Linked DNA regions of Lytechinus pictus. The protein of the gene in region 1 purifies or fractionates together with the protein of each later gene. This does not show direct contact. Links are inferred from orthologs where the notes say so. Each region holds a gene or a part of one and is shown on either strand. Other genes may lie near its edges.

Evidence for each region. The genes of interacting proteins can lie anywhere in the genome.
Region 2: the proteins of ZZ-type zinc finger-containing protein 3-like (region 1) and YEATS domain-containing protein 2-like purify together in Homo sapiens (affinity purification with mass spectrometry; 3 studies listed by BioGRID, with this or other methods). This does not show direct contact. The link is inferred for Lytechinus pictus from reciprocal best matches to the Homo sapiens genes ZZZ3 and YEATS2.

Annotation. Positions count from the first base shown.
Region 1 is NC_087259.1:1,649,619-1,657,418, reverse strand, and holds the start of ZZ-type zinc finger-containing protein 3-like, read right to left. Parts: upstream 3,024-7,800; 5' UTR 2,978-3,023; intron 1-2,977.
Region 2 is NW_026974141.1:16,183,960-16,190,983, reverse strand, and holds the start of YEATS domain-containing protein 2-like, read right to left. Parts: upstream 3,017-7,024; 5' UTR 2,933-3,016; intron 1-2,932. UniProt on the Homo sapiens protein: Chromatin reader component of the ATAC complex, a complex with histone acetyltransferase activity on histones H3 and H4. YEATS2 specifically recognizes and binds histone H3 crotonylated at 'Lys-27' (H3K27cr).

The DNA of each region.
Region 1 (7,800 bases):
AAAGAATCAAGGTCACTAGTAGGAGAGACTGTATGAGAAGAGCGCACAATGTCAGATTTAAAAGACGATATATACACGGAGCGTAACTTACGATAGCACAGAAATTTCTTCATTAGGGGAGGGTGGGCAATATCAATGAGGCACTTCACAGCTGCGTGGTCAGAAGGAAGCTCTTCAATAATAGAGACGGAAGAAACAAAAGAATCATCACTGTCAGTTATTAAAAGATCCAAAGTATGACCAGCAATGTGGGTAGAAGCATTAACATGTTGCATAAAACCAGGAGCAGTCACCATATCACGGAAAAGAATTGCTTCAGAATCTCCTGCCGAGTCCCAATGGACATTGAAATCTCCAGCCAGAAGAAATTTGCAAGGTTGTGACAAAAGTAATTCAACAAAGCTACCAAAATCCTCCAGAAACATTGCGCTAGTAAGTTTATTCTTCTTATTAGGAGGGGGGCGGGCGATAAATGACTACTAAATGGAATGAAGTGCTCATGGAACTAATGTTCATGTCCAATTGTTCAAAAGATTTATAACTTTGACCAACATTGAGTTTCATCTTAACCCCATCACGAAGGAGAACACCAACACCACCAGCTCTCGAGTGACCGCGTGGTAAGTGATGCAACGAATAATTAGGAAGTGTGTTCTTAATATCAGCTAGGGTGCGAGAATCACGATGATCACCAGTTAACCATGTCTCGGTCAAGACAAAGATATCCAATCGATGACTAATAACAAAGTCACATGGAGCAGTAGACTTGTTTTTAGAATTTATAGAATGTGCATTCCACGAAGCAAAACAAAGACGTTGATGATCAGGGATACCAGACGGTGTGGAATATGAAGGGATTTTTCTTCTCCGACAACCCCCTTTCCTGCCTCTATGAGCGTTATGTCTCCTGTAAGGTTTTCTAAAGATTCCGAGCCATTCAATATGTTGGACAAGAGAAGGAGAGATATGATGAGATGAATAAGCATTATCAGAAGCATCCGGTCGAAGACGTAGAAGTTCACCTCTACTGTAAGAAACAGGTGATACAGGATATGTGGTTGCATTTTCAGGTCCTGGGTTGGGGTTTATATCACCAAAAACCAAGATATCTACCTGAAAAGTTGATGAAGAGTTAGAGTAGTATAGGATCCGTGAAGAGAAGTATTTCACATGATAAAGTTCACAGCCCATTCTTTCTCTATGCAGATTGGGTAGACATTCTATGCTTTCACTGCTATTGAAAGCACACAGAAGCAAAAAGAGGTAGATTAAAACCCCCATTGTGGTATTGTTACTGTAGAGCCGTCCCAATGAAGAGATAATTCATTACGGGATTATAAATAATTAGTAGTATTATACTCATTATTTATAATCACGTAATGAATTTTATTATTTGTAAAATAATAATTTTATCTATAAATTGTTCTTCAAAACAGCATTGCTAACTGGACGTACGTCCTACGTAAGCGGTTCAAGGGACGATCCTATTGTATGTATTTGCGTTGTGTACATTTGGATCGAGGGATCTACACGACATCGGTCTGGTAAGAAACCTTTATTTTTTCATATTTTGATGGAAATTTTTTTTAACCTTCTTATGCATTAGGCGTAGGAAGGTGTAGAGAATAATAAAATCACGATCATTTATGCATATTTTTTGCATATATGGGCGGGGATTCAAGACTCCATGATGAAGAAGTATATGTCAAATTTTTTTAAAAAGACATCATCATGGAGTCCTCAAGACTACATTTGATCCCACCCACGGGTACATTACCGCCGCCGTGCACAGGATAACCACTGGCACGGCACTTGCAATAATTTGAGGCCTATTATTGGCAAGACTTCCATATGTCCACTATATCTAAAATCAAGTAAGCTTTGGATATGAAACTTACCAAACGATATGAAGCCAATTTCAATTCCTCTCTGTCTTTCTGGTACTTTTAATATATCGATGATTTTTCTTAAAGTTGAAGCAGGCATGGAGCCAATTCGCTGGTTTTCTCTATACGCACAGAGAGGGCGTGCGATATAATTTAATAAACTTGCTTGTTTACGTCGTTTACATCAGATCAGCTGTACTGCTGGTTGCGTTCTATTTGCTCCGCATTTTTTTCGCTGTTCAGCGTTATTTTATGATGTAGCGCCATCAGCGATTATATACGTGAGATGCAACCTGTTGATTTTTTTGGTACAATTTCCTATTATGCGCCGGCGACTTGAATCTAGACTGTTCGATAGGAAAAATTCGCATTTCAATTGTTTGCGTAATTTCCACCGCAGTATTAAGGATCAGACGGAGTATCTTGGCTGAGATTTGGAGGTAAGCGTTTAAAATCCCTTTTTATAAATACGTTCGAGCACATTTTTAAAATTGAATTCAATGTCACTGATAAGAGTTAGATGAATAAATTTAGTATATTGTGAAGATTTTGGCATGTGTCATTCTCTCACATTCGTGTGATGAATGAAAACGTCAAAATTCATTATGAAATGACATGCGTTGTGCGAAATTTGTACAACTAACCTCGCATGCTTGTGCCTTGTGAAGTTGTGTGAGTGATTTGATCCCACTCACACAACATGCAAGGTTAGTATACTAACCTCGCACAACGCATGTAATTTCATAATGAATTTTGACGTTTTCATTCATCACACGAATGTGAGAATATGAAACACGCCTAAATCTTCACAATATACTAAATTTAGTAATCTTAATCGTATAATGTAATCTAATTTTAAAAATCAGCACGAACTTATCTATAAGTTTTGGTCTGCAGTGCAATATACTCACCCTTGCCCTTGGGAATAGTAACTCTGGCACAGCACACAGGCACACGTTATTTTAATAGTTAGATGGAGATAGCAACAGTGATAGACCTGGAAACACGACTGCATAATAGTAATTGCATTTTTCCAGTAGATCCGGTAATAAAGGTAATAAAGGTAATAAAAATGGATTTTAAACGCTTACCTCCAAATCTCAGCCAGTTACTCCGACCGATCCTTAATACTGCGGTGGAAATTACGCAAACAAAAATTGAAATGCGAATTTTTCCTATCGAACAGTCTAGATTCAAGTCGCCGGCGCATAATAGGAAATTGTACCAAAAATCAACAGGTTGTATGTCACGTATAATCGCTGATGGCGCTACATCATAAAATAACGGTGAACAGCGAAAAAAATGCGGAGCGCCTAGAACGCAACCAGCAGTATAGACCAAAAGCTTCAGTCTCTGTATTTTGGTTGTTCCGCTGAACTACGTTGGCTCCACTCACCATACATAGACTGAAGGGGATGGGGCCCCGTACCTACAGCCAACGTATAGTGAACTAGCGTTTTATAGATCGCGATTTAAAACTGTTTTTTAAGCAAAATTGAAAGTTTCATGGTTTCCATTATCAGGGAAATATATATAACTTAAGTAATTGCATACCTTGGGCCGGAGTGATTGAAAAAAATCCTCTGGATGATTGAGAAATCTGTCATCTAAGACATTTTCACCTGACCTGACGGTTTTTCTTGCAAGTTGCCATCTTGAATGACGTCATTGTCGTTATTAACTTAATGTCTCGAATCGATATATCGCGATTATAACTAGTACTCGTACTAGTATAACTAGTATCGTTTATCTTCGGTTTCGTTCGCATATGGAGCAGATCGTATAATATCGAAAGCAATATCGATATCACATTCGTGATTGTTGACGTTCGTTTGTAAATATTTTATAGTTTGGCTGCCATTTTGACCATTTTTATCGTGTTCAACCCAATTAAACATCGGTAAAGTATATTTTTCATGCCTTTTTCATCTATATCGTTTAAAGTATTTAAATGTTGGAATATCATCAATTAAAAGTTTGTTGTTTATACATCCTTAGATTGTAAATTCGATGTGTAAAATTACATTAAACTTTGGACTGTGAATTGACAAAAGGGAGGGAATGAGAACACATGCGAGCCCACACGTACACCCTACCGTCGGTAAATGGGGATTACAGTAAAATGTCAGAGATTGTTGAATAAATCCCCAGAAACGACGGTTATTCCTGTCTACCAGCAGTACAGCTGATCTGACGTCAACGACGCAAACAAGCAAGTTTATTAAATAATATCGGAGACATTTTCGGTTCTAACCAACGAACGTAGAGGGCAGCAACACACAAGCGTGTTGCTCTAAGGAAGGTCAACTCCGCTCGAATTTTGTGACCACTTTAAAAAATAAGGTGGGGTTTTGGGAAATTTGTCGAGTTGATTTTTTTTCATTTGTTAATTTCAAATATTTTTTAATGAACAATTATTAGATCGGTTATTCTGGATATAAATATTAAAAATATTACTTTCATTTTTAAAGAAAATATTTAGCTTAAATAATCATGATTTTGACATTTTTCCTCATTTTGGAATATTAAGCCTGTGACGAGGATACCTCATATCTCTTATTTTCTTCTGCTGAATTTCGCTGCACCACTAATAAATGCATAGACAACCACCGCAATAATCGAGGTCATTTTTCTGGCCTGGGTGCGCCGAGTCTGGGCCGGTCGCGCAGCTAGCTAGTGACGTTGATGATGCGCTGGGGCTTCAGGCGACTCGTCATAGATCTAGCAACTTAGACAATGACGTCTAATTTGCCTGGCCTGATTTGAAGTGTAATGGCTTCAGGGCTGATGTTTATCAACGATGATTGTTCAAGGTTAGATTTCAAATTTTAAATGTCATTTGACTTTTAAGTCTATAAATCTGAAATAAAGGCGTTGTATCCCCGAAATCCGGGTCTAAATTTCAACTCTGAGTCCGTTACCATGGCATGGACGGCGAAAAACAACCCATGCATCGGATGCATTGCATTGGCTGCGCGCTGCGCTGCAGCTGCACTGTGATGATGGGTTCAGCGAAGAGCTCAGAGAAAATAAGGTGGTTATATTCAATCCCGAAATGCTTTGCGAGTGGTCACAAAAATCGTCTCGACGCAAATCACCTAATACAGCCGTCTGGTGAAATCGCTGATAACAACAATAACCGATTTGGTAATGATTTTAGTTTCCTGAAACTTATATTTGTAAAGTTTTAAATATCAAAGTATGTTTTTATATGTATGTATATTCCTCAACATATTTTTTAAGTTATCTTTGATATTGTTGTAGTCATATTCTTTCATATTCGTTTTTTGATCGCTACTAATTTGTTGTTGTATTTGATCGGCATTTGATTTCGTTGGCATGAACAATAAAATACGCGCGCAGCTCAGCTGCATGCGCGTATCGAGTTGACCTTCCTTATAGCAACACGCTTGTGTGTTGCTGCCCTCTACGTTCGTTGGTTCTAACTTAACCATAGAGATGTATACATCTCTATGGTTCTAACTCAAGTGCGCCCCCTTTTTAAAGCGAGACCCTTTTCTGTTTGCTAATAATTTTTGTGGACGAGTTAGTAGGTGGAAAACTTTTTTTGCGTGTCATTTTTCAGGAAAATGTGCCCCCCCCCTGGAAAATCCTGGATCTGCCCCTGATTAATGTGATACGTTAAATGTAAATAATGCAATTATTGTTTAGTCTGTAGAGCAATACCTCAATGGGACCTCAATGCAGCTAGTCCAAGTGGATGTCAGGTTCACAACGGGTTTGACGTCATATATGGGAAGCTGCCCCATGACATTTTATGCACTACAAAACGGTTCATAATTGTTTTAAAAAATATTTCAGTAGCGTAAGTGAAATGATTTGTCTATTGATATATACTGAAGATAAAAAAAAACATTTTGATTTTTCTAGAAAATTACATTTCATTAATATTTTCTATACACCAAATACGGGAAAACTGCTCGCAAATGACGTCATCATTGAAATATAAAAGTATAGCATTTTTAATCTTTGATTGATTTCCTAAAACCCTCACCAATATTATTTTATTTTTTTCTGCTATTCTACAATGACTTTTAACTGAGGTTGAACTTCCCCTTTAATGAATTAAGTGCAATTGCGATCAAGAGTGTGCTTCAAACTTGAATATTAATACAGCGATTTGACATGAGAAGGCCGTCCATGAGAGTCCAGAAAAAATAAGATATTCCAGCCAAAAGATTATCAATTTGGTGCAGACGATCTATCTATGATTTTAAAAATGTCACCCTTTCCATTATTTTTATTTTATTAGAACCTTTCTTAGTTAATCAATGTAGGGCTTACATGCGGGGGCTTTTTGATTTTTTTAATGGGGGTTTAAGACCCTTTTTACCTATACCATTATGACCTCTGCCATTTTTACCTCTGCAATTATTACTTCTGCCATTTTTACCTCTGCCATTATTACCTCTGCCATTTTACCTCTGCCTTTATTACCTCTGCCATTTTTACCTCTGCCATTTTAATTACCTCTGCCATTTTTACCTCTGCCATTATTACCTCTGCCATTTTTACCTCTGCCATTATTACCTCTGCCATTTTACCTCTGCCTTTATTACCTCTGCCATTTTTACCTCTGCCATTTTTACCTCTGCCATTTTTACCTCTGCCATTTTTACCTCTGCCATTTTTACCTCTGCCATTTTCACCTCTGCCATTTTTACCTCTGCCATTATTATCTCTGCCATTTTTGACCTCTGCCATTTTTACCACTGCCATTATTACCTTTGCCATTTTTACACCGAGCCATGTCAACTTAACGTGCCTGACTTCGTTGCCAGGCGACTTTCTTCTTCTATATACAACCCGTAATATATTTGTGAATTTAAAAAAAATAAGGTACCCGGCCTTCAGCTCTAGAATTAAAAATTGCATATTTAATAAAAAGAACAACAGAATTGACACATTAATTCGACAAGAATTTCCAGGTAATCCTAAAAATATTTCCCTCCAATTCAAAGTTCTTAATTCAGCTAAACAAAAATGATTAATACAAAATTGCCACAGAGGTTGAACTTTTTATGCAATCCATGAGTATATGAAAGTACGATTCAGTTTTTGTACAACCAAACGAACAATAATTATCTCCCACGAAACCAAATCTCATCAAATGTTCTTTTGTATATATGATATATTGCTCCATGTAAAAGCATAAACTGAAATTCCCTTTGTTTTCTTATAAGAGTTGTACTCCTGATATATCCAAATAATTTACAAATTTCTACATCAGTAAAATTAAAATCACTGTGACCATCCTTGAGTGTTAATTTGTATAGCTCTTGTAGATTGGTAATAAACAAGTTATAAATTGTTTTTTATTTAATTACTTCAAAAGCTGTTTCCTGTTTTCCAATATTCATACTTATTCCAAAGCCTACCCAGGTAACAAGCCAACGTTGGCTCCACGTTGGAAACTTGAAAGTCGTTGGACGTTGGAAAAACTTGATGGATTAACGTTGAATCGACGTTGGAAACTAGTTTGATGGAAAGTTGATGGACAATCAACAATGACACGACGTTGGCAACGTTGGAAACTTGTTAGTTGGAGAGTTGTTGGACAGTCGACAATGTCACAACGTTGGAAACACGTTTGATTGGATAGTTGTTGAACAGCCAGCAAAGGCACAACGTTGGCAACGTTGGAAACTAGTTCGCTGGAAAGTTGTTGAACAACCGACAATGGCACAACGTTGACAAAGTTGGAAACTAGTTTGTTGGAGATTTGTTGGACGGTCGACAATGTCACAACGTTGGAAACACGTTTGATTGGATAGTTGTTGAACAGCCATCAGAGGCACAACGTTGGAAACTAGTTCGCTGGAAAGTTGCTGAACAACCGACAATGGCACAACGTTGACAAAGTTGGAAACTAGTTTGTTGGAGATTTGTTGGA
Region 2 (7,024 bases), on another chromosome or scaffold:
GTTGTGCCTCCCGGAGGAGCCGTGGAAACATGTCATATTGATAGACCATCAATTCGGCTGCCAGAAAATATGAAGATACCGCTAAACGTAACTAAACGAACCACTCAAAATATGCAAGAACACTTGGAGCAAATTAACGCATGACTATTTGCGCACATGCCCAACAGCACAATCTATATCTAGCCGCTGGCTACCTCGGGCGAAGTTCGTGCAGGCTCCACTCCACTTCACTACCGCTACACTACGCTCCACCTACCCGAACTTTGGGACGGTGAACCATTTCAGATATTCTGAGTGACAAAGGTGGGATAAAATGATGGTTTATTGTAAAAATAACAGAAAAAAAATATAACGAGAAAGATAAATAGCTTAATATCTTACTCTACACCCGTATCATACCTTTATACCTTTATACCTTTATACCGCATCTACTGGAAAAATACAGTTGTTCCTGCAGTCAAGTTATCATACCTGCCAACATTTGAAGATTTGAAATAGGAACACCCTTGGACGGGGGTCCAGGGGCAGCGTCTCTGACGGGGTTTTCAAGGGGCGGATCGAAAGGAAAATGGCATTCTGGAGGACATTGGAGGCTTTAAATGATACCAGAATTACTCTATACATATATAAACACACCTGTAGGGTCATTTTATGTCTCTAATGGCCCTCCATAATTCCTTTCAACTTCAAGACAAAAAATGAATCTCTTCAATTAAAAAAAAAGGTGTTGAACGATCTAAAATTCTTTTTTTTTTAAATATAAAATCAACTGATCTGGGGGCCGGACTGCGAGCGCAGGCGCAGACCCCACTTTTGAACCATTAATTCATTTCATCTTTCTCAAACAAACTTCAAACTACAGTCATGAACTACAGTCTAGATAGATCAAATGAAAGAGCACCTCACTTCAATCCAAATATCATGCTTAGGATTATAAAATCTTTTGTATCCGCTGTGAGAGGGATATATTTTCATGTTGAAATACGTTTTCGCATTTCAGACTGTTCGCTGGATAGCCAATGCCATGCCATGATGGTAGACTTGGCCAAGCACTTCAACATAAATCACGAATCACGACGCCCAGAGTTGCGGCCAACACAAGGCCTATCGAGCCGTTTGCACTGGCGATGGCCACGCGTGCTTTCAACGACTGCGCGTGATTTAACTTAGTGACAGAGCCGGAACGAAAAACACATTACAAAGACTCAACATACGAAAAAATATACGTGTAAGGGTCCAAACATAAATCATCACAATAAAAAGAAAGTAACAATGATGAACCTGTTTTAGGAGTTCCAGCTGTAATCACGGTTCACAGTCACGTCTTCGCTGCACTTGGATATAGGCGCTAGACTGGTTACCATTTCTTAATGAACTACATCAACGCCATGATAGTGTCATTTACGAAAGAAAGGACACCAGTCTCCGAGCCGTATACACGGACAAATAAGCCATCGGGGCTGCGCTGGCGGGAAACCCATCAATACCTGCACATTCAGGGCATAATGTTGTGCGAGAGAAACGCATCGCGGTGGCGAGAAATACCTCTCAGCCCGCCAACTCGCTGGAACTTTGCGATAAATACGCCAAATAACCGCGATTTCGGGTGGATTTGGCTTATGACGAAATCTCTCCTTCAAAAATTGAAAAAACGGGACATTCCGATTTTGGGGGGTCTAAAATTTCGAAAATCGTATTTTTCAGATTTAATCGGGACAGTTGACAGGAATGCCGTATTTCACTCCGTGTCCATCCTCCGGTTATCCTCAAAATTGGTGATTTTGGGCCAGTATCAAATTCCTCACACATATTATTCAAGGCCGATTTCAAAACATTGTATGCAACGAACGTAGAGGGCAGCAACACACATCAGTGTTGCTATTATATTAGGAAGGTCCACTCGATATGCGCATACTTTGAAATCGGCCGTGAATAATACGTGTGAGGAATTCGATACATTACTGGCCCAAAATCACAAATTTTGAGGATAACCGGAGGATGGACACGGAGTGAAATACGGGTGTAGAGTAAGATAGTGCATGACTGGAACTCGCTACCAAATGAAGTTGTCTCTGCTCCATCTGTAAACTCCTTCCAAGCCAGGCTTGATAAGTTCTGGAATAGAGAATGGTACAGTCACCCGGCCTTGGGAATGATTTGATTTGAAAAAAAATGATTGCAAATGCACCATGTACACTGGACACTGACACTCATATATTATACTTGTGGAAGAAGATTGAGCTTGGACGATAGCTAGTCCTGGAAAGTTGGCTGCATTTTTCCAGTACATCAGGTAATAATAAGATATTAAGCTATTTATCTTTCTCGTTATATTTTTTTTCTGTAATTTTTACAATAAAGACTTTAATTTTAAACCATCATTTTATCACACCTTTGTCACTCGAAATATCCGAAATGGTTCACCGTCCCGAAGTGTAGCGGTAGTGAAGTGGAGTGGAGCCTGCACGAACTTCGCCCGAGGTAGCCGCTAGCGCCCAGGCCATGGGAGTTAAAAATAAAATCACATAAAAAATATCAGAGCTCCCCTGCCCCTGGGTTAGGAATAGGAGTCGAGTCCTCTAGTCTAGGCTATGATAAAAATAATAAACAGTATATATCAGCTTTAACTGCAGAATACCTTTCAAAAAATAACAAAGTGCAGTATCATCTATGGAAAATTATAAGATGAAAAGTTGTCGTTTGTCCGACTTGTCTTTGGTCTGTCATACGAGATCTACTTCAATAATTTACAATATATGGGACCACACAAACCAGTCATCCATTTAAAAACACGCGAAAAAAATGATGATCAGAGTAATTTTCCATTCTAACTTAGAACATACATTTCTTACGCATCATATTACATTCAAGTGAAACAAAGATGATTATTACATGTGAATAGCGCATTAATAACATAGGAAACTCTACTTACTTCCTGGAAAACACGGTATTTCAGGAGGCTTTCAGTGGCGGATTACCGTGAAAGGGTCGCCATTTCTGACCCTTGATAATAAGCATTAGTGCAACGTCTCCCTCTTGCGACAATGAACTATAGTCATGCGCTCAACAGGTCTCGCGGGCCATGGCAATAAAAAAAAAAAAACATTAAAAATACGGATGAAATTCAGGGGTCCAATGTTTACCACCAGTAGATAGGTTATATATCTTACAATCCATATCTGACCAGAAAAACGTCCCTCGACCGGCCCATTTTAGAAATAAATCGGCATTTATAAAGGCATCTCCTGAGGGGTCAAATCATAGAGATATAATTCTCCATGGGTCAAATTCATCCTCGAAAATAACCTTATCCTCCCTCCAGTTAAAATATCCTTCTTCTTCTTCTTCTTCTTCTTCTTCTGATAAAGTACAGTCCACCGACTGGTGTATTGTTATATCCTGGCCGAATACCCCTCGGCATCCATCGCCGGACATCTACCCCCGGACATGCATCTACCCCTGGACATCGATCTGCCGGACATGCATCTACCCCCATACATCTACCCCCGGAAATCTACTCCTGGGCATTGATCTACCCCCGAACATCTACCCCCTGGATATTTACCGCCGGACATCTACCCCCGGACATCTACTCCCCGGACATCTACCCCTGGACATATTACCCCAGCCCGGACGTCTACCCCCGGACATCTACCGGCCTGGACATTTACCCCCGGACATCTACCCCTGGACATTTAACCCAGCACGGACATCTACCCCGGACATCTTCTCCCTGACATCTACCCCCGGATATCTTCTCCCGGACATCTACCCCCGGACAAAGAAAGGAAAGGAGTAAAAAAAAGAAGAAGGATAAGAGGAAGAAGAAACGCGCTCCGTGCTCGTAGTGTCAGTGGGACACGTATCCTCCTGAATTTATACCAAAATTCCTCAAAATGTTATGTCAGTGTTAATCATAAGTGACGAAAGCATGGGAGAGGGGGGGGGGGGGGCTAGAGGACGCATCCCCTCCAAATATCCTCGCCTGCATTACGCAATTCAATACAGCAGCAATGGTGACTTTGAAAACGACAATAGAATAATCATTCACAAAATCACCATTCATAATATGACGATAAAATACTATGTTCACTGACCCTAAATAATATTTGACCTTTATCATGTTTATCATGTGACCAAAGACTTATGCAAGACGATTAGTGATACAACCTCATCTTTCATGAACCAGATCCATAAACTTTAAAAGTTATGATGGCAATTCAACAAATACCCCCAACACGGCCAAAGTTAATTGACCGTGGTCATGTGACCTGAAACTCACGCAGGGTGTTCACTGATGCCATGCTTGATTAGTCTTAATGTCCTAGTTTCATGAACTATATACTTTCAGAGTTATGATATTTAAAAATTCAATCTTGGTTCAGATTTTGTTTCGATGATCCCCGACATAATCTAAGTTCATTGACCCTGAATGACTTTTCACCTTGGTCATGTGACCTGAAACTCAGTCAGGGTGTTGAATAATACTTGATTACTCTTATGTCCAAGTTTCATGAACCAGATCCATAAACTTTCAAAGTTATGATGGAAATTAACAAAATATACCCCGAACATCAGTGGCGGATCCAGGGGGTGGCGCAGGGGGCGCGCCCCCCCCTAATATTTGAGCGGCGCCGAAGGCGCCGTTCAAAAAAAAAGAAAAGAAAAGGCACTGCTTGAAAAATAAAAATAAAGGAAAGAAAAGAAAAGGCGCCGCTTAAAAAATAATACACTAATATTATATTAGCAACAGTAAAGGAAAGACTATCCCCCAGCAAAGCGCAATCATAATCATCTTCCTTATTTTTTCTTTTAACTACCCTTTTCCCAACAACTTCGCCTGTTAAAAATAATCAGCAGTGCGCTGCCTGCATATAACTGGCGCCAATCAAGAATAACCAGCGCCATTTGGTTATAAATCAGCGCCAGTCAAGAAAAATCGACGCTGCCTGAGTTCTTAACCGGCGCCGATTAAGGATAATCAGCGCCACCTAAATCTAACTCGGGGCCGGACAAGAATAATCAGCGCCATCTGGTTATAAATCGGCGCTGCCAGAGTCTTAACCGGCGCCGATCAAGAATAATCAGCTCCACCTAAATCTAAATCGGCGCCGGGCAAGAATAATTGGCGCCATCTGGTCAAATCGGCGCCGGTAAAGAAAAATCGGCGCTGCCTGAGTTCTTAACCGGCTCCGATTAAGGATAATCAGCGCCACCTAAATCTAAATCGGGGCCGGACAAGAATAATCAGCGCCATCTGGTTATAAATCAGCGCTGCCAGAGTCTTAACCGGCGCCGATCAAGAATAATCAGCTCCACCTAAATCTAAATCGGCGCCGGGCAAGAATAATCGGCGCCATCTGGTCAAATCGGCGCCGGTAAAGAAAAATCCTGACTGAGTTCGTAACCGGCGCCGATCAAGGATAATCAGCGCCACCTATATCTAAATCGGGGCTGGTCAAGAATAATCAGCGCCATCTGGTTATAAATCGGCGCTGCCTGAGTCTTAACCGGCGCCGATCAAGAATAATCAGCTCCACCTAAATCTAAATCGGCGCCGGACAAGAATAATCAGCACCACCTGGTTAAAAATCGGCGCCAGTCAAGAATAATCGGCGCCTCCTGGTTCTAAATCGGCGCCAGTCGATTGTGAATTGCCGCTGCCTGAATCTTACGTGACGTCGGTAAAAATAATCAGCAGTACTTGTTCTAAATCGGCGCCGGTCAAGAATAATCAGCGTCCCCTGGTTCCAATAAATAGGCGCCGGTAGAATAATGAAGAAGAGCCTATTGCCAACCAAATCTAGATTGGCGCCGGTCAAGAATGATCAGCGGCACCTGGTTATACATTTTATTGTTGAATGGTCATAACAAAGCTTATCGCATGCCCTTACAGAGTGGACTGCATGGGGCGGGGCAGTTGCCCACAGATGTCATGAAATCTTTAATTTATTTAAAAATCCCAGAATCATACAAAAGCGTAGAGCAAATCCTTTAATTTTGATCTTATTTTCCAATGCCCTAATAAAAAAAAGATCAGTCACTTTCCTTCTTTACACATTCCACATTGTGCCACCTCTATGGCATTTAGTGTAAGACAGCTACTATAGTGTTTTATGAAGTTGATTCGATATTTTAGTCCAAAGCTTCGCTAAAACCCGTTGCTAGTACCGGGAGTGTATAATTACGCAACCAGACGTATATCCGTTAGACCCGAAACCACTCAATATCATTTTCAATGTATAAATACAGTTTGTCAGTACCTTTGTTTTAACGTTTAAATGTTTACGCCACAAAATTTGATTTATTTTCATCTTCCATTAAGTTAAATATTATTCATCTGATCACTCAGGAAGAAGTTAAAAACAAAGATAACGATACCTGTAAAACTGGAGAATTATTTCCAAAGCTCTGTCTTGAAGGATCTCTTTTTTAATTCAGGTCATAAGCATCATATTCAGTTTCATCAAAGTAGTTAGATAAAAATTACTCATCATTACAAATTGCATTGGATTTAGTGAAAAGCATCACAATATATACCAAATTCTGTATATAGGCCTATACATCATGTACATGAAAATTGAATGATAATATATAAACCTGGATTGGTGATGTATTCCGAATGATTCATGATGGAGTATCATTGTATATACAGAGGCGTCGATCCTGGGGGGGCGATCGCCCCACCAATGAAAATATTGGGGGCAAACATCGTTTTGCCCCCCCCAATAATTCCGCATGACTTTGTGCAAAAATAAAATAAGATGGTAATTATACACAGAAATCAGCAAGCGAGATTGAGCTACACAACTCGTTCTTTATTTAAAATCGTGCTCAAATTGTCCGCTTCTCAGATCGGAATATAAAGATTTTCAGCTCGCACTTCGCGCTCGCATCATTTCTGTAGCAAAACCCCATACTTTTCATGATTAGATAGGTGAATAGAATGTCCCGTTTTCAGTTCTAAACGTCAAAAGAACTCCCGCTTCGATTTGCAATAATCTTTTGTTGGATATAATCTTGT